Elephas maximus indicus: one gene and its partners. The protein of the gene in region 4 interacts with the protein of the main gene of each other region in a biochemical or structural test. Links are inferred from orthologs where the notes say so. Each region holds a gene or a part of one and is shown on either strand. Other genes may lie near its edges. The genes, in order: UBR5, USP30, ZRANB1 and UBC.

Region 1 (7,504 bases), on a different chromosome or scaffold from region 4:
TTTTAACCTAGTATGTGCAGACTATCATAAAATTAGGAAGTTTGGGAACACACATTAAGAAAAAATATCAGGTGTTTTTCTTTGTGCTGGGTACATTTTAGATGTTTAAGACATCAGACTATTACACTGAACAAAATGTTTGACTTTTAACAGAATGTATGTATTTAAAGAAAGAAAATTTATTTGGAGAAGAAAATATTGGTGGTGGTTTCAGCTCAACAGTTTTCTTTAACTGGGCAATTTATTTACAGTACCATACTGCCTCATCAATCTTACTGCTTTTCAGGTAAAGAACAAAGTCTACCTATTTATAATTTTTCATCCAAAACTATCATTTATCATTTAGTTTATGACTATCACAAAAGACACATATCTTACAAAAATCAAGCTACAGTAGCACACTCTTTTCTATTACCAGAACTTAATAAGCTTTGATTAAGTTTTTATCTGAAGATGAAGATCTTCTGGGCTGCTCGTTCTGGATCATTAAAAGGGTCCAGAAAAACCAATCATGAATGGAAGCATTTTTCTCAAGCAATAGGTTGATCTTGTGCAACTCTGCCATGAGGCATGCAAAACAGATCTTTTCTTTTGAAGGGCAGACACAACAGCTCCCAGCACAAATCTACTATTCCAAAACTTAAGTTGCATGACTGTCTCAAATGCTGCCTTTACAAAACGAATCTTGACATTTTTACAGCTACTAGATACAAGTACCTAAATTTCTACCTACAGCACGTTTCTATTTACTCAAGTATCTGTCATATTAATGCACAGATTTTATAACCTAAATCAAATACACTTGTCTTTTTTCCTTATTTCATGGAATTAAAAATTCAAGATGGTCTCAACATTCTTAATATTGTATCTTGACACTATAGGAATCAAAATCAAAGCTGACTGTTTACACTCATATTGGAGGAAAAAAAGGCATCTGTAAGAAAGATACATGTAAATTTCTCAAGACAGCTGAAGCAAAAGGAATGCTCAAAAATAAACCAGGTGCCCAATACAATTGTACTATAGGTTTTGGCGTGCACAGCCAAGTGAGTAAGCTAGTCAGGATTCCTGATACATAACAGAAAATTGGGTTTAATATAGAAAACATGACCTAGTTCTCTCCTCCCTGGTGCAATTTTCTAAGTTACAGGACAAGTACTACTCACTTGGTTCTATAAATGACAGTAGAGCTATCCTCACTACCAGCCTGAATCTAAAGAAAATTACTTCTAAATTTACAAAGAATCTTATGTTGAAGTCTTAAAAACATCACTAAATAAACTCAAAGGATCAGATAACAAAATGTTAAAATAAATAACTTGAAGGTTATTTCCATATTTAAAGGAACTATGTGACAACTTAAAATGGTTAACATTTTCAAAAAGTACTCCAAAAGTTTCACAAGCATGTTAAATACAGTATGGCTACAGCAAAGATTACACAAATCCAACCCAGTGCTAAAACCAAGCCTCCAGTTTTCTGGACTTAAAAGTTGCCCGGCCGACCTGAGGCGGTTATACACATCAAGAAAGGCCAATATTTTAGCAGCAAGTTAGGCCTCTTCCTCCCTCCAGGAAGCGCATGACAAACAGGGCGTCATGCAACTTATGTCACCAGGTCACTTAGCAAAAATTATACCTAACTTCTAAACTTGGGACCAGACGGCCTATTACACTCACAAGAAATACACAGAGTAGTATTGGGGGAGAGGGAGGCTTAAATGCCCTACCTTCTGATCCTGTAAACATTTAGCCCATCATTCGATCTGAGTCCTAGATTCAAAGACATGCTTTAATGGAGGCCTCCCTCGACCTCCTGAGTCTGTTTTGCAACAGTAAAGGAACTTTTCCTGCTTTATCTCAGTTCCCTGTGAGCATGCGGCCCTGCAATTCAATATCCTAAACTGGCCGGGAACGGTGGAGGAGGGAAGGGGAGGAATCCATGGCTAAAACAGCCTTCTTATGAAAGACAAAAAAAAATACATATCATAATTCCTCCTCTGCCCACAGCAAACTCATCCTAGAAATTTACAGCGTGTTAAGAAGAGCAGCATTGCGAGCTGCAAACGCTAGGAGTTTTCCTTTGACTCTACGCACGGTTTTCAGCTGTCAAATTACAACTCAGGAAAACACTATCATTAGAATAAAAAGGGGAACAAAAAAAGCTCGCACCACAGGGGCTGGAAGGATGAACTGCCAGTACCGTTTCAAGACAGGGAGAGCAAAGGCAATCCGCCCCGCGACGCCCGCCTGAATTCATCCCCTCCCCGGGCAGGCAAGCCTCACTGCAGGGGCTCAAATTCAATAATAATAACAATAATCATGGCGCTTCCTCCCTCCCTCGCCGCCCTCCCTCCCCCGCGAATGCCGGGAATCGGCTTCTCCCCCCGGGATCTCCCAGGACTGGCAGCTCCGGTCCAGCTCTCCGGACCCAGCTCCCGGGAGCCGGGGCGAGCCAGCCCAGCCCTGCCCCGGCCCCCTCGCCGCGCTTCTCCTCTTCCCTCTCTTTTTACCTCCACCATCCCCCATCCGCATTGTCTGTCTCAATTCAACTTTGACTAATATGGATTCCTAGGGCCTGGGCCGGGAGGTAATTACAGCCCGCCCCCCCAACCCCGAGAGCTGGAGCCCCCCATCTCCGCCGAGTTCAACGGGGCCGCTCAGGGCGGGGGCTGCGGTGCGCTCTCCCGTCTACACCGCGGCCCCCGTCTACACCGCGCGCCCCCCGCATCCTACTGGACAAGAAGTTTGGCCCGGAAGGGGCCTAGCTCGGGGCCGGGAGGACCCCCCCGGCGGGCGGACTGCGCGTAAACACCGGCGCCCGTCCGGCGCGGCCCCGTGGGGGAGGGGAGGGCGCCCCTCCCCCCGCCCGCCCGCCCGCCGGCCCTATTACCTGTCATTGAGCTGGTCCTCGGTGCCCGGCAGCGGGTGAACCACGAAATGGATGGACGTCATGGTGCTTCCTTCTCGTCCTCCTCCCGAGGACTGCCCCCTCCGGCGCTCGCCCACCCCCCGAGACCCCTTCCCCTCCCCAAAACCCACTGCCGCCGTCGCCGCCTCCTAGTCCCCAGATGGAGGGAAGCAAATGCGCAGGGGCCGCCGCCGCCTCCCTGCCGGGCGTGTGTCGGCGGCCCGGCGACTCGGCGGGGCGGGCAGGAGGGCGGATCAACACGCCACCCGCTCCCCCGGCGACAGCACCAAAGAGTGCGAGGCCGGCGGCCGGGACCCGAGCCGCGGCACCGCCGCCGCCGCCAGCGGCAGCCGGGCGTCGGGAAAGGGGCGACTGGGGAGGGGGAGAGGGGCGGGCTGCGGGGTCGGTGTGGTCCCGGCGGCAGACGGGGTCCGGACTGGGGGAGGTGGGGAGGGAGCTGAGCCCGCACCGCGCGTCACTGGCGAGAAGCCGCCGCCGCCGCCACCAGCACCGCCGCCGCCATCTTCACTTCTGCCCCAGTTTCTCCGTCTCGCAGGCTCCGCTCCGGAGCGGCGGGGGCGGGGCGAACGGGAGGAGGAGGAGGGCGGAGACCGGCGGGCGGGGGCACGGCTGCGGAGGGGCGGGGCTCCGGGAAACGGGCGGTGAGGCCCTCTCGATTGGGCGGCTCAACGTTGTCGGGCCACGGCGCTGTAAGGCGCGTGAGGATTGGGCTGGTCGGCGCCCGAGCCCAGCCCTCCGCGGGGGGTGGGCTAGCTCGGAGTGAGTGTTCCGGGGAGCACGTGTTAGGGAAGGAGGAGGCGCAGGGGCGGCCCCGCCGGGGCTGGTGGGGAGTTCGGGAGGGAGGGTAAGTGTGTCCCGAGGGAGGTGGGAAGGGAGGGGGGCTCTTCTCTTCTCTCTCCCTGATTTCCCTGGGGCAACCCGAATTATTTTGCCGATCCTTCGGGGTGTTTTGTTGTTTCTCTTTCATCCGCGTTTGTACTTAAAGTGAAAGTGTAGTATCAGATAAAGGGCAAGAAATAAACAGCCTTTTATTTTATTGGAGAAGTAAGGTATTTATGTAAGGGCCTTACCTGAAGGTGATAGTAGGATCAGGGAACTGACTTTGCAGTTCTTTTGCAACTCTGGTCTCCGTAATGTCCCCCAACACCACCACCATCCCATACCGCCACAAAGAGAAAACGTGGACACAAAATAATTTACTGATCTAAATGATTCATCATTTTTTTATTATTGCTTTAAAGTGAAAGATGGTATATCTTTTCTACAAAGAAGTTCCTCAGCTTGTCATCAGTGGGATCATAACTGGAAGTACTTGAATGGATTTATCAGCTTTTTTTCTTGGAAAGCCAAATCATAGCTTTCTTCCCAAGGTTTCTATGATCTTTTTAAAAACTCAAGTACTTCTGAGGAACTCTAAAACTTAATGGCAAAAACTGAAAACAGTTCCTTCTTCCCTGACATACCTCTTAACCAGTCTGTGTGAATGTTAGTTAAATCAGGGGTCCTGTAAAATGTTAAGAATAAAATATCGCTTTTCCTGTTAATGCATTGCACACACACACACTCTTGCTTAGGAAATTTCCTTGTGCAAAGTATATGAAAATTTGTTTATAAATCAGAATAGACTAGGTAGCCTTTGAGACAAACAAGGGAACACTTTTGTAGGTCCCTTGCTCCAACATCGGCCCAGATTAGCTTAGATTAAAAGTGACTTCAAGGCTACTGTGTGTTAGAAACCCTGGTGGCACAGTGGTTAAGAGCTAGGGCTGCTAACCAAAAGGTCGGCAGTTGAGATCCACCAGGCATTCCTTGGAAACCCTGTTGAGGCAGTTCTACTCTGTCCTGTAGGGTTGCTGTGAGTCAGAATTGACTTGATGGCAACAGATTTGGTTTTTGGTATGTATTAGAAGTCCATGTGAGCCGTGGGGAGACAAGGTGGCCCAGTGGAGACTGTTGGTTTTAGAAACAGACCTGGATTTGAGTACTGGTTCTGCTATTTAACTAACATTATTATCTTGGGTAAGTTATTTAACCGATTGTAGCTTTTTTTCCTTCTCATTTGTAAAATGTTATGTTATTTTATTTAATGTATTAATAGAGCTGCAAAGAATTGTGATGGCGTACATATTGGACACCTAGAGCAGTTCATAACACATAGTAAGCTCAGCAGATAAAAGATTTTATTTGTTGAATGCTCACTTTGTACCATTTTATATACCTTTTATATGTATCAGATTGCCTTAGGGTGGTAAATGGTATTATCCCCATTTTGTGGATGAGAATACTGAGAGCCAGACACCTTCAATAACTTGCCCACGATGACATAGATGATAAGTCCTAAAGTTGAGACTTATACCCAGGTCTTCTGACTCTGATTCAGTTGCTCTTTCTACTATACCACAGCTGCTATTAAGTAGTTAATAATTTAGAAGGAACAGACTATTTAAAGCCAGTTGAAAAAGATGTGATATGATAAATGCAATAAAAGTACTATGGAAGTTAAAGGAGAAAGTGATTCCAGTGAAAAGAATTCAAAATCATTTAAGCTGAGCCTTCAAGAATGTTCTGGGCAAATAGATTACGTAGCTTAAATCCGATCCTTTTAGATTTGTCCCTGAACCAACTCCATACTTTGCCCATACCGTGCCTTATTTCTCTTTTTTTCCAAATCTGTCCTTCATCTTTTTATTTTGCCTCCACCCTCCTTTTGACCTGATTTACCCACTCCTAGTTTCCAGTGGTTAAGAACTTGGCTGCTAACCAAAAGATCGGCAGTTCAAATCACCAGCCACTCCTGGGAAATCCTGTGGGGCAGTCTACACTGTCCTATGGGGTCTCTATGAGTCAGAATCAACTTGACAGCAAAGGTTTCAGTTCAGTTAGTTTCCTTTAAGGACTAACGTGCTCCTGACCCAAGCCAAGGTGTTTTCAATCACCTCATATGCATGTGAAAGCAAGACAATGAGTAAGGAAGACCGAAGAAGAAGAATTGACGCCTTTGAAATACGGCCTGCCTTTGGCAAAGAATATTGAATATACCATGGACTGCCAGAAGAATGAACAAATCTGTCTTGGAAGAAGTACAACCAGAATGCTTCTTAGAAGCAAGGATGGCAAGACTTTCATCTCACATACTTTGGACATGTTATCAAAAGAGACCAGTCCCTGGAGAAGTACATCATGTTTGGTAAAGTGGAGAGTCAGAGAAAAAGAGGAAGGCTCTGAAGGAGATGAATTGACACAGTGGCTGCAACAATAGGCTCAATAATAACAATGATTATGAAGATGGCACAGGACCCAGCAGTATTTTGTTCTGTTATACATAGGCTTGCTATAGTCGGAACCAACGCAACAGCACCTAACAACAACAATGACAGTTTCTTCAAGGAGCCCTGGTGGTGCGGTGGTTAAGCACTCAGCTGCTAACCAGAAGGCCAGTGATTCAAACCACCAGCTATTCCACAGGAGAAAGCTGTGACAATCTGCTTCTGTAAAGATTACAGCCTTGGAAACCTTGTGGGGCAATTCTGCTCTGTCCTATACGGTCCCTGTGAGTTGGAATTGACTTGACAGCAATGGGAGTTTCCTAGAACTGTGACATACTTTCTTGGCAGCCCTTTCGAACTGCCTACTTGATCTCTGACTCACGACCATCTTGGCATTGCTACCTTTTTGTGGTCCCAGACTGGCATGTTTGCAACAATCCTCTTCTTCCAGGGCTGATACTTTGGTGGGTCATATTCTGAACCGGGAAAAAGAAGAACAAAGTCATGGAGTTGTGAAAGCCAATAGGATGCATGGGTGGAGTGGTGGGGGAAATGGAGATAGAGAAATAGAAATAAGCAGGACTCAAGAAAAACAATCTCTGTGAAGACTCAAAGCGTAATACCAAAAACAAAACAAAGCCTATTGCCGTAGAGTCGATTCCAACTGATAGCAACCCTATAGGACAGAGTAGAACTGGCCCATAGGGTTTCCAAGGAGAGGCTGGTGGATTCAAACTGTCAACCATTTGGCTAGCAGCCAAACTCTTAATGGCAGTGCTACCAGGGCTCCCAAAATATAAGGCTACAAAAGGAGGCTGGGGACTTACTAGTCCTTTGAATTAATCCTCCCTCTGAGGACAACTAGAAAAGTTGTACAAAATATTTCTTTAAATCTGCTTAAAGAAAAAGAGAGCTAACAAAATAATGATGACTTCCCAAGCCAGGATCCAAAGGAAGAATGAGACCCAGGGAAGTGAGTCCTATGTTTGGAGCCACTTTTTCTTCTAAAGATGAATGCCAGTTCTAGAGAGACAGGCTGAAAAGCCAAGAGTCTGAACACTTGACAAATGCTCCGGACTAAAACAACAACGATTGATATGCAGGGCCTCTTATTCTGTGCTGAGACCCTGAAGGGCTACACCCCTGAAATAGGCCAAGTCTTAGATTTGGTTTCCCAAAAAGCAGACCTTGAGACAAGGGTTTGACTATAAGTAGTTTATTCAGAAGATGATCCCAGGAAGCACTGTATGGGAGTGGAAACAAGGAAGAGAGAAAAGCCAATAAAAGGGGTTCTAGTGAATGTTTTA
Region 2 (7,713 bases), about 14 Mb from region 4:
CACACATGGGGTCACTCTGAGTGAGAATCAACTCAATGGCAACGAACAACAACGACGTATAGGTCATATAGTAAAAGCTTACTAAATGTAGCCACTACTATTAAGTATTACACCTACTCCTCACTTATCACCTATCTCCTTATCTGACATTTCGCACTTATAATAGTAAAAAAATCTACTATCCAATTATTTTGCACATTAATGACGTAGGTCTGGCACTAACGAACGCCAAGTGCAAGGAGAGAGTAACGCTAGCTGTGATGGTGAAGGTTATGTGTCAACTTGGCTGGGCCATGATTCTCAGCGGTTTGACTGTTATGTGGAGGGTAGATAAGAAAAGGAGATGGGAGCTCTGGCAGGACTGGGAGATCCTGATAAAACTGGGGACCCAGACTGGGGGGACTGACAGCTATGTAATGACGTAGTCATCCTCTGTTTTGTGATCTGATGTAGTCATTCTCCATTTTTGCACAATGCTGATTTTCACATGACAACCTGGTCTTTGGAACCTACCCATGTCGAAAAGTGAGGAGTGGGTGTATAACCTCAGAAGTTTCTTAATGCATCACTGTGCTGACTTACATTCACAAGAGTGCCTGGGAAGGTTAAAAAAGACTATCAGAAATGCTAAAACTCTTTACAAGTGTTCTTCATGTCCCTGAATCAAACACTAATATTTCAGTGCATAAGGTCCCTGGATGGCACGAACAGTTTGTGCTCAGCTACTAACTGAAAAGGTTAGCGGTTCAATCTAACCAATGGTGCTGCCGAAGAAAGGCCTGGCGATCTACTTTGTAAGATAACAGCCATTGAAAATCACACGGGGTCCAGTTCTACTCAGACACAGACAGGGTCACCGTGAGTCAGAATCGGCTCAACAGCAACAGGTTTTGAGGCACTGTGATAATCTCGTCTCATTCTCAAAGCAACCCCAGAGGCAGATTTTATTTTCATCCCCATTTTTATAGATGAGGACACAAAGGGATGTGGCCACCTGGTCAGTGAGTCAGGCAGCCAGGATGTGAACCCATCCCAGATGGGCTCCCCAGGCTGTGCTTAAAACCACAATGCTCATGACGGCAACTGAAGGACAGAGTAACAAAGGGACGGGACAGAGGATCTGCCCTAAATCTCTGGGTGGTACAAATGGTTAATGTGCTTGGCTGCTAACTGAAAGGCTGGAGTTCGAGTCCACCAGGAGGTGCCTCAGGAGAAAGGCCTGGCAATCTATTTCTGAAAAATCAGCCACTGAAAATCCTATGGAGCACAGTTCTACTCTGACACACATGCGGTCACCGTAAGTCAGAACTGACTTAACACCAAATGGTAACAGGTGGTTAGCAGGGCATGCCTGGTGGCGTAGTGGTTAAGTGCTATGGCTGCTAACCAAAGGTTTGGCAGTTCAAATCCACCAGGCGCTCCTTGGAAACTCTATGGGACAGTTCTACTTTGTTCTATAGGGTCGCTATGAGTTGGAAGTGACTCGACGGCACTGGGTTTGGTTTTTTTGGTTTGGTTTAGCAGGGCATGCACAAAAAATCAGGGCAAATGACAGACTTTGGAAACTTCATTCCTCTGCAAAATGGCAAGTCAAGAAGGGTAGTGGGGCCTGGGTGTGAGATCTGGCTTCTCCTCCCGGCTCTGCTATCAGTTCAGTAGTGAGACCACAGGCAAGGCCGTCTCAAGGCCCAAATTCCATCTATGGAATGGGGACACTGAACAGAATAGCCATTGAGGGCTTGCTTCCAGCCCTGGGATAATGGCTCTTTAGATGTGCTCCAGTTTGAGAGGACAGAAGCTGATCTGAGGAACAGGTTTCAGTCAATTAGGGTCAGTACGGGGGCTGCAGTGCTTAGCTCCGAAGCCTGGAGCACGTGGAAGAGTGGATAAGAAAAGGAGATGGGAGCTCGGGCAGGGTTGTGATCCTGATGGAACTGGGGACCCAGACTGGCAGGCCTGGCAGGAATGGGGGAATCTCAACAGGACTGGGGCAGCCTTTTAACAGTTTAAGGAGGCCACGTTGGTTAAGAAATCCTTGCAAGTAAAGGGAGTCACTGATAAGATTGTGAGCCCAGACAAAATTGGGGTTCTCTGGCAGAATGAGGTTCTGATAAATGAGGTTTTGATGCGGGAGGGGACAGCCGTAAGGACTGAGGAAACCCTGGAAGGATGAGAAAGTATGATAATATCGGGAGGCCCTGGCAAGGTGGAAGGATTGGGGAAATCCTGGAAAGATTTTGGGGCCCTGGCAAGAATAAGGGATCCTGCCAAGACTGGGGAGCCTTAGCTGACCGAGGGGCACAAACAAGACTGTGGGACTTCTGGAAAGATTGGAGAGCCCACAAAGATAAGGGGACCCTGGCGGGTCCACATACTGGCATGATCGGGGGGCCCAGAAGGATCGAGGTATTCCTAGAAAATTCGGGGGGCCCTGGCAGGCCTGGGAGGCACTGAGACAACAATGAACATTGACAGAATTCGGTGCCTTGACAAGATGGGGGAGATTACGCAATCCTGGGCACCCCCACAGGGCTGGGGGGCACTAGCAGGTGGGGGAACGCACTAACAAAACTGGGGGGCGCTGGCAGAATTGGAGAGTGCAGACAGAAACGGTGTTGCCGAAAACACTGGAATCCCTGAGAGGCCCGTCGCCCCTCCCGGCCGTAGAAGCTTCCAGAGTGACCCCTCGGGCCCCGGGAGCCCCGACCAAAGCGTAAAAAGGCCGCCTCCGGCCGGGTCTCCGCGGCCGCCCCGCCCCCCACAGCTCACCTGAGCACCGCCCCGGCCCGCAGGAAGCGCTGGAGAGCCCTGTCGGCCGCCGTCATCGCCGCCTCGGCCCGGGGGCTCAGCATAGCCGCTGCGCCGGAGACTCCGCCGCCGCCGCCACCGCCCCCGCCGCCGCGGCCGGACCCAGGGCTCTGAACGCTCCGAGGCGGCGGAACCCGCGACCAAACACGCCCAGCTCCTTGGGGGGAGGGTAGGCCGAGGGGACAGGCGCCCGGATGGGGCCGGAAGTAGCCTCCACCGGAGAGCAATAACCGGCGGACCACGTCCTTCCTTCTGTGTTAGCGAAGGGCTACCGCTGTTTTTTTTTTTTACTGTGGGGGGCGCTTCCGGGTTGTTGATTTTCCAGGTTTTGCCCTGGGCTCCGTCCATCCGTACAGATGCCCCGCTCCCGGGCGGGACTGTGGGTCCTGGTTGGAATTTGCCAGTGTGGAGAGGGCGGCCCCCGCCCGAAAGTGGGGGTCAGGCCCAGGCTACCATTAGTTGTTACTGTCGTCAGAGAGGAAATAGGTCTCCAAGGAAGGACCTTTGATAAAATGTGGTCCAACTTTGACGTCACCAGTACGGAAACCGAGGCTTTTAGTCATAACAGCCACCTAACTTACTGTTTGCTTAGGTGCCTGGTGCATTGCAAAGTGCATCGCACGTATTATTCACATTTAATCTTAACACTATCCTAAACATTACCCGTATTTTACATCCGAAAAAACCCAAGAAGTATAACTTTTGACACAGCTTGTAAGGTGTGCAATTCAGATGGACCGATCTGTGTCTCCAGGATAGTTCCGTCCGATAGAAACATAACAGGAGCCACATATGTAATTTAAAATTTTCTGGTAGCCATGTTTAAAAAAAAAGGAAAAAGCAGGTGAACTTGATTTTTTTTTTAATTTATTTGTATTGTTGAGACTATACACAGCAAAACGGACCAGTTCAGCTGTTGCTACATGTCCAATTCAGTGACATTGATTATATTCTGAATTATGCAACCATTCTCACCCTCCTTATCTGAGTTGTTCGTCCCCCGTTAGCATAAACTCTGACTATGGTTCCTAGCTAATCTTTGGAGTTGCTGTTTTCAATTTGATCTCATTTAGATAGTTAAAAGAGCACAATGCTCAAGGCAGACATTTTTTACAAGTTAAGCTAAAGTATTGTTTGGTTTTAAGAAGACTTAAGGAGATATTTTTGGTTTAAGGTTTTTAAAGATTGTCTCTGCAATATTTTCAGGGGTTCATGCAGCCTCCGTGGCTCCAGAAAGTCTAGAGTCGACGAGAATTTGAAATTGTGTTCTGCCTGTCCCCCCTTTCAATCAGGGTTCTCCTATAGAATATTTGATCAAAATGCTCAGTAATGGTAGCCAGGCAACCATCCAGTTCTCCTGGTCTCATGGCAAAGGAGGCAGTTGTTCATGGAGGCAGTTTGCCACACATTCCATATCTTCCTCCTATTCTCAACTCTTATTCATCGTCTGTTGATGGAGGCAGATAGAGACCAATTGTTATGCCTTGGATGGTTGCTTGCAAGCTTTTAAGACCCCAGGTACGACACAAGAAACTAGGAGGTAGAACAGAAGCACTAAACACATTATTAGGCCAATTAACTAGGGTGCCCCATGAAACCATGACCCTAAACCTCCAAACCTAGGATCCAAATGCCATTAGGTATTTGGTGAACTTGATTTTTATAATATATTTTACTTAACCCAATGTATAAAAAATATTATCATTTCTCTATAAAAACTGTTAATAATGACAATCTTTCATATTAAGTACATCTCAATTTGGATTAGTTACTTTTTATATGCTCAATAAATACTAGTAGCCAGTGGACACCATACTTTTGAAGCATTAGGGCCAGAGAGAATTTACCCTCCTTTTAGATCAGTTTCCCAATTCCAGAATCAGTAATTTTAACTGCTTTAGTGAAAAAAGAATCCTTCAGTTCAAAATTTTTGGTCTCAGGACTACTATGTATGCTTAAAAATTATTGAGAGCTTTACTTATTAGATTATATTCCACTAGAAATTAAAATTGAGAAACAATTTTTGTATGCTTAAAAATTATTGAGAGCTTTTGTTTATTGGGTTATATTTATATTTATTCTACTAGAAATTAAAATTGAGAACTAATTTTTGGCTTTTTAATTGAGGTACAATTTACACAGTAAAATACACTCATTTTTACTTTAGAGTTCTATGAGTTTTGACAAATGTACACAGTCATGAAACCACCACCACAATCAAGATAGAATCATCAACCCACAAAAATGACTTCCTGTCCCTTTGTAGTTAACCTTTCCACCCAGTCCCAGTCTCTGGCAACCACTGATCAAAACTAAAATATTTAAAACCCAAGAATACCTAAACATACATTCCATTAGTTATCAGAGCAACAATGTTGTCACACATTGCATAGCTTCTGGAAAACTCCGGTGTATGCTCACAAGAGAATGAGAGTGGGAAAGGCAAAATAATGTCTCAGTATTATTATGAAAACAGTTTTAACCTCAAAGGCCCCCTGAAAAAGTCTTAGGTGTGGCTGCAAACCCCACTTTGAGAACCACTGCTTTAGCCTGACCTGGGAATAACCTGCCACCCATCAGCAAATCTGCTCAGACCTCTAAGTTCCAGGCTCTTTTAAATAATTGGCATTTGTAGAGCATCCGTAGTCAATCAATTCACAGATGTTTTTGAGCACTTTACATGCTGTATCTCGTTTATTCTTGCAATGACCGTGTGAGTAGTAACAGCACTCCACATCTCACAAAGCTAACAATGTCCCTGCCGCCTGGCTCTTACTCCTCTTCTAACAAGGGAGGTGCTGCTGTCGTTGACTAATAGATGTTCTTATAAATAGGGGGCGTATTACTAATTTATGACAATAATGCCACAGCAAGTAACCAGCAGGGCCCACTCTGACATCCATCAGGCAGATCCAGGATCTGTGGCATCTTGGGAGATAACAGGGTCACTAGGGATCAGTCCCTGGAGAGGGACATCATGCGTGGTAAAGAAAAGCGTCAGCGAAAAAGAGGAAGACACCCAACGAGATGTACTGACACAGTGGCTACGGCAGTGGGCTCAAGCATAACAACGATTGTGCAGGACCGGGCACTGTCTCCTTCTGTTGTACATAGGGTCACTATGAATTGGAACCTAACAACAACAACCGAAATCTCTTGGCTGTTGTGATTATCCTGCCGGCAAAGGGTTTATCCAGAGGCTCAAGTCCTTGGGATAAAAACCTGAAGTAGCATTCTTCAGCTGCCCCTATCTGGATTCAGCTGGAACTCCTCCTTTGCAACTACTTTTAGAGAGCTATCTCATTTTGGTATTTAAATTACTGTCTGATTATTGTGGTAGAGTATGTAACATTTGCCATTTTTACATGCACAATTCACAAAATTACCTTTACCGTGTTATACAACCGTCGCCACTATCTGTTTGTCGTTTTTATTTCAAAATTTAAACCTCAAACCCAATTCAAAAGTTTTCTCCACCCTGACCAAGAGAAGAGCGTGGCCTGGAGGCAGAAGCGAGGCTAGCTCTCCATACCTTCTCCATCCGCTTTCTTTTCTGGCCTCTTGGAAACCCTGGTGGCATAGTGGTTAAGAGCTACGGCTGCTAACCAAAAGGCCAGCAGTTTGAATCCACCAGGCACTCCTTGGAAACCCTATCGGGCAGTTCTACTCTGTCCTGTAGGGTTGCTGTGAGTTGGAATTGACTTGATGGCAATGGGTTTGGTTTTTTTGGTTAGGCTCTCCCATGTCTCAGAAGAAAGATCTCAGAGATTGTGATCACAATGTCAGACAAAGCCACAAGAATGATCCCCTTAGGTGTCTTTTTAATACTAAAAATAGTTATTATTCTCCCATATTGTCCTACCAGATAGGAACATTGCTTTCCATTATCTGGGAAGTCTTTAGAACTAGGCGTAGACTTCGAAGGAGAGGCTATTTTCTCCCTTTCTTTGGGGAGATTCAGGTGAATCATTAGTGGAAACTGGGGCACCCCTATTCTCAAACACCACACTCACCCAAAGGCATTTTCCAACCCACAGATCTCCCCTTTAATTGACTAGGGGAAAGTGGGCTCAGCCTCGTTCTTGCTTGTCTTAGTCATCTAGTGCTGCCATAACAAATACCACAAGTGGATGGCTTTAAAAAAGAGAAGTTTATTCTCTCACAGTCTAGTAGGTTACAAGTCCAAATTCAGGGCGTCGGCTCCAGGGGAAGGCTTTCTCTCTTTGTTGGCTCTGGAGGAAGGTTCCTTGTCACCAATCTTCCCCTGGTCGAGGAGCTTCTCAGGCACAGGGACTCCAGGTCCAAAGGACATGCTCTGCTCCTGGTGCTGCTTTCTTGGTGGTATGAGGTCCCCAATTCTCTGCTTGCTTTCCTTTCCTTTTATCTCTTGAGAGATAAAAGGCGGTGCAGGCCACACCCCAGGGAAACTCCCTTTACATTGGATCTGAGTAAGGGTGGTGTTACAATCTCACCCTAATCCTCTCAACATAAAATTAACAATCATAAAAATGGAGGACAACCACACAATACTGGGAATCATGGCCTAACCAAGTTGATACACACATTTTTGGGGGAACATAACTCAATCCATGACATTGCCCTTCTCAGTAAGCCCCGAGAGAAGAGTGGCCTCAAAGATAGGCTCTAGCTGCCACCTCTCTCAATTTAGAATTTATAGCACTCAGTGCCCTTTGTCCTCAGCTTTGAGCCTTAGTGTCTGCTCTGGAAAAAGAATAAGACCTTTGTACATAAACCTGGAGGGAATTATCCTGAGTGAAATAAGTCAAACACAAAAGGACAAATGTTGTACAAGACTGCTATTATAAAAACTCAAGAGAATGTTTGCACACAGAAAAAAACAATCTTTGATGGTTACCAGGGAGGAGAGGGGAAATCACTAACTAG
Region 3 (7,422 bases), on a different chromosome or scaffold from region 4:
CTTTTCTCGTTGCTGAGAAAGGGCTCCCTTGCTTGCCAAGACAAATCACTGTGCTTTGATTACCTCCCTCCTGGGTTTCAGTAATTTTTTTCCTTCTCTACCTTCTCTCCTCTGTTGACGAAAGTTCTCAGATATTCCTGTTCTTAAAAATAAATACTTGAAAGAGAACAGAACCCTTCCCTCGTTCTTGCTTCTCCTGTGTCTAACATCTTTTGCTTCCTTTCATTGCTGAATGTCTTGGACTGGTAGTCTATAATCACTGCTTTAGTACCCACACATGCCTTCAGCTTTTGAAATTTGGCTTCTCTCCCTGCCATCCTACTGAGAAATTGTTCTCTAAAAGGTCACAAAGTCTCTTGTTTGTCAAATCCAGTGAACTTTTCTCTGTTTTAATTCCTCTAAGTTTGTAGAATCTGACATTGTTTGCCATGTTCCCTAGGCTTGGAATTTGACATTGTTGATTACCATGTCCTTTAGTCTCACACCTGAGGTCCAGGATGCCGTTGATTACCTGGTTCATCTCCTGTCTTTTGTACTACTCTTTTTTTCTCCTTGGATAGTTCTTCTTTTCCTTTCCTACTCCTGGCTTAAGTGGTAACTTGTGCATAGCTAACTCCCTGATGTTTATCTCCAGCTTTAGCCATCACATTTCAGGCCAGCATTTCCCCTGCCTGCTGCACATTTCCCTCTGAGTGATGGGCCAGGATCTCCACATACCTGATCCAGTAGACAGCATCTCCTATCTAGTTCCTCTTTCTCTTCATGTTTCCCACTGTTAATGGCACCGTTCACATTCAGAGGTCTCTGACTTTTGATTCTTTCTTCTGGCCCCAATTCAGGTACTGGCAAGCCTTGAACATCCACACTCTTTCACCTCTGTCCCTTCCTTCCCATCCCCACAGCTACTTTGGCTTAGGTCCTTGTCTCCTAATTGGTTTCTCTATTTCCCTATTCTGTTTTTACCCTCTTTTGTCCCACAGACATTCCAGATTAAGATATAGCTCTAATATTGGTGTTTCCATTTCTATTAATGGAATTAAGTACAGATCCACAATTTTGCATTGAAGTATTCGCAGTCAGTCAGAAAATGTAAAGTATAATGGTATCTTCTAAAGGTAGTTTGGGAAACAGCTGAAATAAAAGACAGAACTAAATGTCAACAAAATTATACTGTCCCTACACTTCGGTAGAGGTTCTCAGAAAAAGACTTAAAAACTGGATATGTTTTTCCAAATGAATTTTTTTTATAACTCATTGAGAAAGGTGGTTCAATCTCTATGAGAAACAGCAGGATCAGTTCCTTAACTATGACAATGCTATCTGCTGTTGTGTTAGATATGAAGCGCTGCTCTAACAGAAATAGCACAAGTGGATGGCTTTAACAAACAGAAGTTTATTTCCTCAGTTTAGGCGGCTAGAAGTCAGAATTCAGGGCACTAACTCCCAGGGAAGGCTTTCTCTCTCTGTCAGTTCTGGGGATAGGTCCTTGTCATCGATCTTCCCCTGGTGTAGGAGCTTCTCAGCACAGGGACCCTGGGTCCAAATGAGACGAGACGCACTCTACTCTCAGCGCTTCTTGGTTGGTGGTAATGTGGTCCCTCTCCTCTCTGCTTGATTCTTTTATATCTCAAAAGAGGTTGACTCAAGATACAACCTAATCTTGTAGATTAAGTCTTGCCTCGTTAACATAACTGCCTCTAATCCTGCCTCATTAATATCGTAGAGGTTAGGATTTACAACACATGGGATAACCACATCAGATCACAAAATGGTGGACCATCACACAACACTGGGAATCATGGCCTAGCCAAGTTGACCTACATTTTTGGGGGACACAATTCAATCCACAAATGCTGTATTTGTTCACATCTTTTTAACAGATATGGTGTTATGGGAAGAACATTTGATTGGGGAATCAAGAACTCTGGGTTCTAATTCCATACGTAGTTGGTCTGGCTTTTGACAACTCTCTTAATTTAGGCACTACTTTGCACATCTGCAATACATGGAGGGTGGTGGGCGAGTAGGACAACATAAGTAGTTCTCAATTCTGGCTGTACATTGTAGCCACATGGTACGTAAAACATACCCATGTCCAGTCCCTCCTCTTAGAGACGGTTTCAATAGGTCTGGTGTTGGGCCCCAACATTCGTATTTTTAAGAAACTCCTCAAGGTATTCTGATGTGTAGCCAAGGCTGAGAACCACTGGACTGATATTAAGAGTCTTTTCAGCTTGAACAATTCATAAAATACCACCTTCTTTATTAGAGCCATTTTTTGTATTTGCTCTTCCTCTCAGTTACATGATAATTTTCATTTGAATTTACATGGTGCTTTGCACATTCTGCCTTATATAATGATAACTATGGTTGTTTTTGTCTTCTTTCCTATGTCTGTTTCCTCAAACACAGAACGTGTCTTACTCATCTTTGTGGGCTTCCTGTTCCTTGGCACATGGTAGGTACTTATTATGCTAGGTAAACTACAATTCAAACTAAACAAGAACAAACACCTAATTTGGTGACGTGTCTACTTATTAACTTGGAGGTAGATGCTCTTTATCCTTGATTCAAGAAGCGGGAACTGGAGGTACTCAGAGGCCCTCAATGGAGATATTTTCAAGTGAAATATTGGTTGAAGCATTGTGATGAAATATTGGTTGAACCATTCTTCTTGCATAATGACTTAGTGATTTTATATCTAATTGTTAGTTACATATTCAAGAATGTGGGTTAAGTTTTACAACAGACGAGATTGTTGTAGTTCAAACTCAATGTATTGAAGAGCCATTAAGCAAAGTATTTTGCTGTTATGTACTTCAGATTTGACCACGATGAAGAGGATTATGGAAAATCTGTCACAGGAATGGCTGTGAAGATAAAATATACCAATGGTTATGAAATGTTGGTGAGAGGAAGCTATAAAGGGTTCTTAATTGCCATAGTGAAGCTGTACATACATCCTTTAACATATCTATGCAAAGAGAAACTCAGAACACCAGGGATAATTTTACTCGATAAATCCCCATCTAATTTTTAAAAATCTGAGTAAATGCTGAATAACACTGTCTCCTAGTGAAGCTGAGGTGTCCAAATGTGACTGCTAAATGCCCTTTGAAAGTGCTATAGCTTTTCTTCATCAGATAACTTGAAAGAGATTTACAACTCTTAAAGAGTTCCTGTGTTTTATGGGCTTCCGAATTCTTCATAGAAATAAAATTTGAAGTATGAGAAATGAAAGGTGACACCTCAATGGGAAAAACTAAGCTCTCTGGCTAGAAAAAAATTGACTCATGGAATTTTAACAGATAGCTGACTCATTTAGACTATTTTTACGGTAAAAAAGAAATATACAAAATATATCGCCATATAATATATTCTATTTAGAATCTGGGCTTTGGGGACTCTCAGGGCAGTATTTTTTCCATGGCTGTCATTTATCCTCGGCCTTAAGGAATATCTCCAATTTACAGAAAAGGCAGCCATGAGAAAGTTGTATTTACCCAACATTAGGACCAGCATATGGCGGAGGAGAGCGAGAACCCAGGGTCTCCATAGCTTTTCCTCATATATTTATGTATATATGTAATATAGGTGTATATGGAGATAAATACATATACACAAAATATGTACAAATTAGATATATAAAAATTACACTATCACAAACAACCAAAACGTTTGTCTTCTGTGGTGTCTTATCGAGAAACTGCATATGAAGAGGTTAAGCAGAACAGAAAGTTCCTCAGGAGACGTGAGACTTGGGCGGTAAAAGTTTGGTGAATTTGTTTGCAGAAGAGAAGGGGAAGAGTTCGAAGAAAGACAAGTGCGCCTCGAGACGCCCGCCCCACAAGGTGCTGTGAGGCGCCGTCGGTCTCCGTTTGCCTCCGCGGGGCGTCCTCCACCTCGGCCAGCGCGCGCTACCCTCATCTCCGCGGTTGCCGCCCAGGGGCCGCGATGTGGGGGCGCGCGCCGCAGCCTCACAATCCGGGCCCGGCGCCGGCGTGATGTCACGCCTCTGCGGCCCTCCTTCTGCGTCCGGAAAGAGGCGGCCTCCCATTGGCTGCGTCGCCGGCGGCCTCGGGCCAATGGCAGGGCGGCAAGCGGCGGGGTCGGCCCTGACGTCTGCCGCTCGCCGCGGGGTTTATTTGGCTCCGGGTCCCCTCTGTCGCCGCCATTAAGAGCCCGCAGCGCCCGTGGCCGCCCCCCCCTCTCTCCCCCCTCCCCCCGGCGCCCCCCCGCCTGCGCGCCTCCTCTCCGCCCCTCTCCCCCCGCCTCCGGCAGCCCGGAGCCGCGCGCCGCCCGCGGAGACCATGTCCTGACTGAGGGGAGAGGGCGGAGGCGGCAGCAGCGGGGCGGGCGGCGGCACGGAGGGAGGCGGAGAGGGGCCGGGCTCCGCTCGTCGCCGCGGGCGGCTCGGGGAGTCGCCGCCGCCACCGGGCGCCGAGCGTCGGACAGGGAGGAGGAGCAGGAGCTGGAGGAGGAGCCGCCGCCGCCACCAGGTAACCGGGCCCAGGAGGGGCGCCCCGCCGCAGGCCCCCGCGGCCTGACCGGCCTCCCGCTCCCAGGTGGGCCCAGGCCGCGGGGTCTCTCGGCCGCCCGCCCGCCCGCCCGCCCGGCGCCCCCCGGGGCGGCGGCGTTGCAGGCGACGGCGGGGAGCGGGGGCCTGCCGCGCAAACCCCGTCGGGCCCGGGTCTGCCGCCGGCCGGGCTTCCATCTTTTGGGCTTTCCCGGGGCGAGGAGAGGTCGGGGGCTCCGGGAGGGCGGGCCCGCTTGTTTACCAACGATCGATCAGCCGCAGCTGGACGCGTTGCCGGCCCTGCCACCGTCTTCCGCCGGATTTTCCCCCAACTTCTCTTCCTGCCTGATCCGAGTCTGTGATGGGGTTTCGCTCCCGCTCTGCAATAGGCCATAAATACTTGGGTTCATCGCCACAAGTTGGTGCTGGCCTCCAAACTTGGATTTCAGTCTCTTGGCCGCTTCCTCTCTGTCTCCTGCGGTGGCCCCAGTTGTTGCCATTTCTGTCTAAGAAATCAAGGTCGGGGGGCAAAGGTTGGGGGAGAGGAGAAAGAGCTGGAACTGTGGACAGATGATCTGCCCGCCTCGCTCTCGGTAACTCTCGTTCGGTGCAAGTAGCTGTTGTTTTCTGTGGGGCTTGCGTGGGTCATTTCATAGACAAAAGGACTGTAATGAATACTTGCACTAAGTACAAGGGACTGGCAGTTTAGGTTAAACCTGGAAGTTGGAACTGGCCCACTATCTTTGAGGTTCACTGATGTTTTCTTAACTCTTGCTGAGAATTTTGAGTTTCAGTCTCACTCCCTTTGTCCATAAGTCTGCAGACTTTCAGGTTAAAGGCTGCTCTCCCCAGTATTTTGGTCTGTTTGTTCACCGTATGATCCACGGTATTGTCATTATAAATCTGATGTACAAAAATGTTGTTTTAGAGCCACAGCTGAAGAGACACCTTTAACTTCCGGAAATACTCCGTAAGGAGTGCTTCTGGTACTTGTAGGTCTCCCTTTTTTAGACGGTGTCCTAATCACTCGTGCAACCTCGAGGTACCTCTGTTTTGATCAAACATAGATGACTCAGTGAGTAACCCATAAGCCAGGGAAAACCATAAGGAATTTTGATCTTGGCTTGCGCCAAGGGCTGAGAGCACGTCATCTAAGATGTGTTTGTGAAAAATAAAACTGGATCTCTCTTCTTGGTTGTTATTTTTAATTAAATTAGGTAGTTCTGAACACATTTAGAACTCTGCTCCCCTGTTGATTTTTGGGTCTTATGACAAGGTGTGCAGTTTCCTTCTTACTATAAAAGTGCATCACGTTGTTTTTATTGGGCTATTAGGAGGGGGCTAAAACTAGTAAGACGGTAATGACACATTTTCATCTTTTGGGAAGGCTGTCATTTGAATGTCATGAAAGATTTTTATTTCTGTTGCTCATGTTTGAGCACCTTTTATTACAGCCTTAGAGTATTGGGACACCCGTTTATTTACTCTTGAAATGAACTCGGGTTAGTATGAAGAACTCATTCATGATATAATATGTGTTAAGCTCACGGCCTTGATCCAGACCTGTACACTGATGGGGTTCTGGCACAGCCCGTTTAAAGTCTGAGGGTTAACAGAGCTTTGGAACTCAGGGTCCAGTGGTACAACGTTTGAGGTAAGTTGCTTCATGTGCGTAATTGATAGAGTGAGAGCTTCTCCAGGTGCTTTATACTTATACTACTTTTATAATAAATGTAAATAAACAAGAGTTGTAGACCACCATAATTTTTTATTTAACTTCTTGGGTCACTTTTACTATTTAAGCATTGCTGCTCACACCCACCCCCACCCCAATAATATCCTTTTGTACCTGGCCTAGAACACTTTTTTCCATTGATGTGATGTTTTATTAGGAATATTTGTGCTCCACTTATTCTTCGCATAAAATAGTGTCTTGCACATTTTAATATTGTCCCCTCCTCACATCACGGTATAAAGACTTCCAGAAAACTCCTTATTACATGGAAAATAAAGCTCAGTTTCCCCGGCATGGTCAAGATCCTCCAGAATCTAGCCCTGATCAGTGCTTCAGTCTTAATGCCATTTCTCCCCTTGGTGGATCCTTGGTTTGTTTTTCCTGTGAAGTCTCTCCCCTCAGCTTTTCTTTATGCTGTTCTGTCTGTTTGGAATCGTCTTCCTCTTGTATTCATGGATACTCTCTGTACTCTGAGCCCAGGTAGGGCCTGTCTCTTGAGGAGCCTTTTTAACTACTTCAACCCCAAGGGATCTACTGTTCCCTCCTCTGTTGTGCAGGATGGTTTTCTTCCTTCTTGTCCTAGCACTGCTAGCCTGGATTTCAGTTGCTTTTATTGTTTTTATTCTGCTTCCCAATTGGACTTTTAAGACTTGAGAAATGGGTTTGAGCCCTGTGCCTTGTGTGTATGGGGAGCATATATTCAGCTCTGACAATTTGGACTCGTGCTCTGACAGTGACCGGTGATGGTTATAGTGGTATTCTAGGATATAGACTTTGTACTCCTCCAAGTATTGGAGTTTCTGGGACTGTGACAATTTCTGAGACAAAAATATTTGAAATTATGGCTGTCTTTGAAAAAACAAAATACTTGATTAGCATGTTTATGCCTATTGCCAACATGGTTCCCAGCCTGTAGAGGATGGTCAGCATTTTGATAATGATCTCATCTTATTTAAATAAAAATAAGTACCGTAATTCTGTGGTTTACTTCGGATTTGAGTCTGGGGCAGTTACTTGGGTTCATTTGAGATCGGCACCAGTGACAGCAAGGGGGACCATTTCCTACTTGTATATAGGTAACGTTTAGCATCACATGAAGGAGAAATCACCTGTAGCTTCAGTTTGGATCCTTAACTTCGGATGTTGGCAGCATGTGTCATTGATCATAAGG
Region 4 (6,893 bases):
AGAAAGGATTCTATGGGAATAGTTCTTTGCTGTAATAATGAATTTCTCCCCTCTTCACATCCATTCTCTAATTTGACTTGACCTCATAGTGTTAATCATAAAAATGTCAAAACTTAGATCTGGAAGGTTCCTGAGCCCAAAGCCTTCATTTTTGAGATAAGGAAACTGAAATTCATGAAATGACTCACCAGTTAGGTGGTGGCGCATTGGTGACAGCTTGTGTCTAACAAGCTTCAGTAAAGGTTATTTCTCCCTAAATGTCAAAGTTCTGAAGGAACAAAACATTGAGGTGATTCCTAAGGCGATCAAGCCTAACACAAAACTAATCATATGCTTCTGGTTCACTTTGTATCTTGTACGTAACTGTTTCTAATAGTTAACTGAAAGGGAAAAAAAAATACCCTAAGAAGTTGGTGGTGGTAAAGTTTTGTTAGGAAATGGAGTTTTCTAGAAGAGTTGTTGAATCGTTGAGGAAAAAGAAGTTATTCAACTGTTAAATATTATCTTACATTTTAAAAAGCAAAGCCCAAATAGGTTCAATAACTTCCTGAAGTTCATAAGGTACTATTTGACAAATTTGGAGACTAAAATTTCAGTCTGATTTTCTGACTGGCGGGAGATAAAATTGGTCATTTTTAAGTTGAAAGAGTTTGTGGCCTGCCACACAATTCAAATGTACCTGTGTAAACAGGAAAATGACAAAATCCCATGGGCTTTATTTTATTTTTTTGCAAGTGTTCTAACCTGCAGATCTCCTTGACAACCTTTTTTGGTTATATAACCAATGACAAAGCAAGGCAAACTTTCCCCATCTAGCTCTCACATTTCCTCCTCTCTCTTGGGGGAAAAATGTTTGCTGACTGTTGCGTTCTCAGACAGTTTTAGGATGTTGAATCAAGTCACATACAGGGCTGTGACCTTCAGGGGATCTGAAACCTTTGGGGGAAAGGAAGAAAAGCAGACAAACGGGCACCAATCCAACTGCCCGCTCCCCACCCCCACCTTCAGGTGCAGCCAAACACCCTGGCCCTTTGTGAGCTCAGCCCATCACGTGCGCACATCTGCTAGCCAATCCTGCCCTGTTGCTGGGCTCCTGTCACTTTTCCATTGGTGCCAGCTCTGAAGCAATCTATTCTGGGATGCTTGCAAAGGATGGATCTGTGGGTGGAAAGAACTGGAAACAGATCCAATGACTAATCCTGCTTCTCGCACATTCTAGTACATTGCATTGTAGGTCAGGGGTTTTAGGTTTTAGGAACGTGACTTGATACCTGACTCCAGAGTCCAAGGGGGACATTCAGACTTTGGGCCTTGGTGGCCTTCTCAGCAAGTAGAAAAGCAGTTGTAACAACAAATCCTTCTGTAGAGCAGCGATTGTCAGTCTCAGCCCTGTTGACATTTTGGGCTGGATAATTATATGTTGTGGGAGGCTGTCCATTTTAGAATGTTTAGCAACATCCCTGGCCTCTCCCCACTAGATGCTGGTAGCATTCCATAACCCACAATTGTGACAATCAAAAATGTCTCTAGACATTGTCAAATGCCCCGTGGGGGACAATATTGCTCCTGGCTGAGGCCTACTGCTCTAGGAAACCACCCACCTCTTTAGGGAGGCCATTGCTGTCCCCTAAGCTCCTTCTCCCCAACTTCAGGGTCCTCAGGGAAATGTTTACTTCTTGTTTGTTTCAACGATAACCCACTCTCGGACTTAAAGTTAGGGAATACGGGGGTGTTTCAGAGATTTTTTCTGCTGGAGACAATAAGTACCCTCCCAACTAACAGGAACTTTATTTTCTTTGTGGAGGTAACCCTTGGCCTAATCCTTTCCTCCTCTTTCTTTTTTCCTCTTTGCCTTCTCTTCCTCCTCTTCTCTCTCCCCTGCCTCTGAAATCAGGGATGTTTTTCTCTGTACCTTTTGACTCTGAAGATAACCATGTCACATAGCTCGTGACTCAGCCTTTAAGCAACAAGAATTACAAGACTTGCAACAGCCAAAAGCAAACAGGGTGTGGTTTGAAGCAGGGCCTGGTCACCTTAGAAAGAATCTGTTTTTCGTTCCTTTAACCGAAATTTAAAGAGAAATAACCTCATAGCGAACCTCAACTTTTTGTTTCTTTAACGTCTCTTTCCAGAAATTTAGAGAGAAATAACCTTCACAGAACTCTGTATTGGAAGGCATTGAAAATGGCATTCCATTCTTTATAACTCATTTTTAATTTTCCAGTAACACATTACTTCATTGTCTTGGAAAAATGCTTAAAATTACAGAGGTTAAAATCTATTTTGAACAGCACTCAGATCTTTTGTGTTTTCATAAATACATACACAGGCAACCATAAAAAATATATATAGCATTTGTTTTGGTTTGATTAAAATTTTAAGTGTGTTTAAAAATAACATCTGTAACTTAAAACAGGAATGTATTCTATTCCTGATAGCAGAAAAATTTTTTCAGTCAGCTGGCTCTTCTGTCTCTTGACTTTTTTAAGGTTAGAAATTAAAATACGCACATTTGTAGATGCAGGGAGTATTTCTAGAAGAATCCAGATGGAACGGTGGCCAGACAATTGAGGGGAAAGAGGTAGATTTCACTGTGAACTTATAAAAACCTGTTCTGAATTCTCACCGTGTTAATATATTTTAAAACAGTTAAAAAATAAGCTGAAGAAGTGACATAGAGATCATAAAAATAAAAATCTGGGCTGGTGATCGTTTTTCTTCTCTTGTATAAAAATGGAATTTGCCTGTGGAAGTAAATTTCATACTCTGGATATTTAAATTTTTTTTCCCAAAAATATACAAGGCTGAGACTCAATTGGTGTCAAATTTTAAAATGAGTCCTAACTGCGTTCGATTTCTGAGCTGAACTGAACATCAACAGAAGTGAAATTTCGAACGCCTCTTGTTTACAGTGAAGTGCAACCTTTACAAAAACCCAAGGCCCCAGCGAATAAACAGGAAGCTAAAGAACAGCCTAGAAATTTCTGTGTGTCAGCTTTCAATTCCAGCGCAAATAATTAAAAAAAAACTGTGGGATTTCCTTTCTTTTTCCTAATTCAATCCAGGCACGCACATTCATTTCTCCATTGGAAAACTGTTTCGTTTGTTTTTGAAGATTTCCTGTCCTTAGGACCAGACTTTAGTTGAGGCCTGGATTTTGGCCTTGGCCTTTGTCCTGGCCCAGAGGCTGGGCCGCAAATCTGAGATTTGTCGAGTCATTCGCCTTGTCCCCGTGCCAGCTCCGTGGGGGGTGGGCAGGGCCGCCTCAGCAGGGGTGCTGGGAACCCAGGGGACCCTCACGACAGGCCTTGGTGGTGGGGGGACACAGTGAAACAAACACTATAATTATTTCAAATGTGAACCAAAATAACGACCCCTGGCTTCGGATGGGGGCGGGGCGCGCCAGAGGGGAGGCGGACCCAGACTGAGGCGCTCGGCCCGAACCTGTCGCCCGCCAAGAGCTGGTGTCGCCAACGGCGGGGACGGTTGCTGTGGGGAGGGGGGGCGTCGGGGTCGGGCTACCGGCCACGGAGGCCCACCCGCTCCGGACACCCAGGCGGCTCCGCGCCGGGTTTTCGCGCCGCCGCGAGCCGCCCCCACCCGGCACCCGCTCCCTCTCCCTTCCCCCAAGGCGTGATGCGGTCACGTTCGGTCGCAGCGCACTGTGTACGCGCTGATTCCTCCGCCAGGCCCCTCGGGACGGTGATCCGCTGCCCACCCGACCCAGCCCGAAAGCCCCAGTCTTGACAGGAGAGCATTTTATGAGGGGACTTGGATGAGTTTGGGGTCTAGTTTTCTTTCTAGGTTGCCAAAGGGGCTGGGTAAAATAGTTCCTTCTCGGCGTTTCTGCGGAGGAATCTCCCTGGGGCGGAGGCCTGCTATGACTATATAAAGAAGCGCCGGGTGTGGTGCAGGGACGTCCGTCGAGGTCGGTGTTCGTTTCTGTTTCTCTTTGCGTTCTCTGTTTCCACAGCCGCTTGGTGAGTAGGATCCTGCTATGCTGGCCCGGGAGCCTCGGGGCCGTCCGGCTGCGAGGGGTGGGGGACAGACAGTGCTGCTCGCTGCGGGCGAAGGGCAGCCGGGGCTTTTAGTCTCCTGGGTCCTGCAGCAGGGTGGCCGTGAGGGGGACGAACGCCGCAAAATGGCGGTCGCTTCTGACTGAAAGGTCGGAGAGAGGAAACTGAGGGAGGGAAGGTTGTGAGGGGAGAGAAGCGCCAGGCCGCCCCCAGGGCTCAGCGGAGGGAGAGCGAAGCTCAGGTGGGCGTGAGCTTAGGCTTCTGTCGGGCGGGCTTGGGCAGGGGAACCTGACGTTGGCGTCTGAGTTTTGGGGAGTGACTGGGAGTAAAGGCCGGGTTGCCGGCCGCCGTGGCCGTGGCCAGCTCTGCACCTCAGCCCCCGCCGGAGAGGGAGCCCGCGGCCGCAGCGCTGGAGCGTGACGTCACCCGCTCTGTTCGGCGCACAGTCTGGGGTGGGGCCGCCTGCCCGTAAATGTGTGGGGGAGCTTTGTGGCAGTCACGGGGCGACGCAGAGTGTGGGCCTGGGGGAGCCCCTGCTGAATCGACGGGGGACAGACGTTCTGGCGGGGGAGGCTGCCGAGTTTCTACGGTCAGGGTGCCTGCCAGCCTGCCTTCGTGAGGGGCTAAAATCTGGGGTTTCAGGTGATTTGTCATATCTGTTAGGTTTGTCACTGGTTATATCGTGAAGTTTTTTGGGAGAGAATTGTTTTGTTTTTTTTGGTCTAGTAAAAAATTGTTATTTTTTGGGTTAGGAACGTAGTGACGTTTGAATTACCTGCTAAAGTTTTGGGTCCTTTGTTTCTTTCTGTTCTCAGACAATGCAGATCTTTGTGAAAACCTTAACGGGTAAAACCATCACCCTTGAGGTAGAGCCCAGTGACACCATCGAGAATGTCAAGGCAAAGATCCAAGACAAGGAAGGCATCCCTCCTGACCAGCAGAGGCTCATCTTTGCCGGGAAACAGCTGGAAGACGGACGTACCCTGTCTGACTACAACATCCAGAAGGAGTCCACTCTGCACCTGGTTCTCCGTCTGAGAGGGGGAATGCAGATCTTCGTGAAGACCTTGACCGGTAAGACCATTACCCTTGAAGTAGAGCCCAGCGACACCATTGAGAATGTCAAGGCAAAGATCCAAGACAAGGAAGGCATCCCTCCTGACCAGCAGAGGCTGATCTTTGCCGGGAAACAGCTGGAAGATGGACGTACTTTGTCTGACTACAACATCCAGAAGGAGTCCACTCTGCACCTGGTTCTCCGTCTGAGAGGGGGAATGCAGATCTTCGTGAAGACCTTGACCGGTAAGACCATCACCCTTGAAGTAGAGCCCAGCGACACCATTGAGAATGTCAAGGCAAAGATCCAAGACAAGGAAGGCATCCCTCCTGACCAGCAGAGGTTGATCTTTGCCGGGAAACAGCTGGAAGACGGACGTACCCTGTCTGACTACAACATCCAGAAGGAGTCCACTCTGCACCTGGTTCTCCGTCTGAGAGGGGGAATGCAGATCTTCGTGAAGACCTTGACCGGTAAGACCATCACCCTTGAGGTAGAGCCCAGCGACACCATTGAGAATGTCAAGGCAAAGATCCAAGACAAGGAAGGCATCCCTCCTGACCAGCAGAGGCTGATTTTTGCCGGGAAACAGCTGGAAGATGGACGTACTTTGTCTGACTACAACATCCAGAAGGAGTCCACTCTGCACCTGGTTCTCCGTCTGAGAGGGGGAATGCAGATCTTCGTGAAGACCTTGACCGGTAAGACCATCACCCTTGAGGTAGAGCCCAGTGACACCATCGAGAATGTCAAGGCAAAGATCCAAGACAAGGAAGGCATCCCTCCTGACCAGCAGAGGCTGATCTTTGCCGGGAAACAGTTGGAAGACGGACGTACCCTGTCTGACTACAACATCCAGAAAGAGTCCACTCTGCACCTGGTCCTCCGTCTGAGAGGGGGAATGCAGATCTTCGTGAAGACCTTGACTGGGAAGACCATTACCCTTGAGGTAGAGCCCAGCGACACCATTGAGAATGTCAAGGCAAAGATCCAAGACAAGGAAGGCATCCCTCCTGACCAGCAGAGATTGATCTTTGCTGGGAAACAGCTGGAAGATGGACGTACCCTGTCAGACTACAACATCCAGAAGGAATCCACTCTGCACTTGGTACTTCGGCTCAGAGGTGGAATGCAGATCTTTGTGAAGACCTTGACTGGTAAGACAATCACCCTTGAAGTAGAGCCCAGCGACACCATTGAGAATGTCAAGGCAAAGATCCAAGACAAGGAAGGCATCCCTCCTGACCAGCAGAGGTTGATCTTTGCCGGGAAACAGCTGGAAGATGGACGTACCCTGTCTGACTACAACATCCAGAAAGAGTCCACTCTGCACCTGGTCCTCCGTCTGAGAGGGGGAATGCAGATCTTCGTGAAGACCTTGACTGGGAAGACCATTACCCTTGAGGTAGAGCCCAGCGACACCATCGAGAATGTCAAGGCAAAGATCCAAGACAAGGAAGGCATCCCTCCTGACCAGCAGAGGTTGATCTTTGCCGGGAAACAGCTGGAAGATGGACGTACTCTGTCTGACTACAACATCCAGAAAGAGTCCACTCTGCATCTGGTCCTGCGCTTGAGGGGAGGTGTTTAAGTTGTTCCCCCTTTTCTCTTAAGCTTTCAAGAAATTTCATTGCACTTTTCTTTGAATAAAGTTGTTGCATTCCAAAATACTGTTCTTTATTTTTAGTGCTAAGTCACGTTCCTTTGGGGCTTGGTTGGGGAATTAAGGTTTACGGTTTTTGAAGTGTTCAAGTGGGAACCTTGAGGAGGTGAGATGTTGGCCTTGAAACATGACCTCAATACATAAATTAAGTGGATGG

What was found.
Region 1: the proteins of UBC (region 4) and UBR5 form a complex in vitro, tested with the Homo sapiens proteins (7 studies listed by BioGRID, with this or other methods). The link is inferred for Elephas maximus indicus from reciprocal best matches to the Homo sapiens genes UBC and UBR5.
Region 2: of the proteins of UBC (region 4) and USP30, one has a biochemical effect on the other in vitro, tested with the Homo sapiens proteins (5 studies listed by BioGRID, with this or other methods). The link is inferred for Elephas maximus indicus from reciprocal best matches to the Homo sapiens genes UBC and USP30.
Region 3: of the proteins of UBC (region 4) and ZRANB1, one has a biochemical effect on the other in vitro, tested with the Homo sapiens proteins (10 studies listed by BioGRID and IntAct, with this or other methods). The link is inferred for Elephas maximus indicus from reciprocal best matches to the Homo sapiens genes UBC and ZRANB1.

The regions. Positions count from the first base shown.
Region 1 is NC_064833.1:39,566,272-39,573,775, reverse strand, and holds the start of UBR5 (E3 ubiquitin-protein ligase UBR5), read right to left. Parts: upstream 3,002-7,504; 5' UTR 2,955-3,001; coding exon 2,893-2,954; intron 1-2,892. UniProt on the Homo sapiens protein: E3 ubiquitin-protein ligase involved in different protein quality control pathways in the cytoplasm and nucleus. Mainly acts as a ubiquitin chain elongator that extends pre-ubiquitinated substrates.
Region 2 is NC_064840.1:19,533,307-19,541,019, reverse strand, and holds the start of USP30 (ubiquitin carboxyl-terminal hydrolase 30), read right to left. Parts: upstream 3,019-7,713; 5' UTR 2,853-3,018; coding exon 2,770-2,852; intron 1-2,769. UniProt on the Homo sapiens protein: Deubiquitinating enzyme tethered to the mitochondrial outer membrane that acts as a key inhibitor of mitophagy by counteracting the action of parkin (PRKN): hydrolyzes ubiquitin attached by parkin on target proteins, such as RHOT1/MIRO1 and TOMM20, thereby blocking parkin's ability to drive mitophagy.
Region 3 is NC_064834.1:74,981,275-74,988,696, forward strand, and holds the start of ZRANB1 (ubiquitin thioesterase ZRANB1), read left to right. Parts: upstream 1-4,415; 5' UTR 4,416-4,499; intron 4,500-7,422. UniProt on the Homo sapiens protein: Ubiquitin thioesterase, which specifically hydrolyzes 'Lys-29'-linked and 'Lys-33'-linked diubiquitin. Also cleaves 'Lys-63'-linked chains, but with 40-fold less efficiency compared to 'Lys-29'-linked ones.
Region 4 is NC_064840.1:5,697,770-5,704,662, forward strand, and holds UBC (polyubiquitin-C), read left to right. Parts: upstream 1-3,872; 5' UTR 3,873-3,980; intron 3,981-4,831; 5' UTR 4,832-4,834; coding exon 4,835-6,664; 3' UTR 6,665-6,743; downstream 6,744-6,893.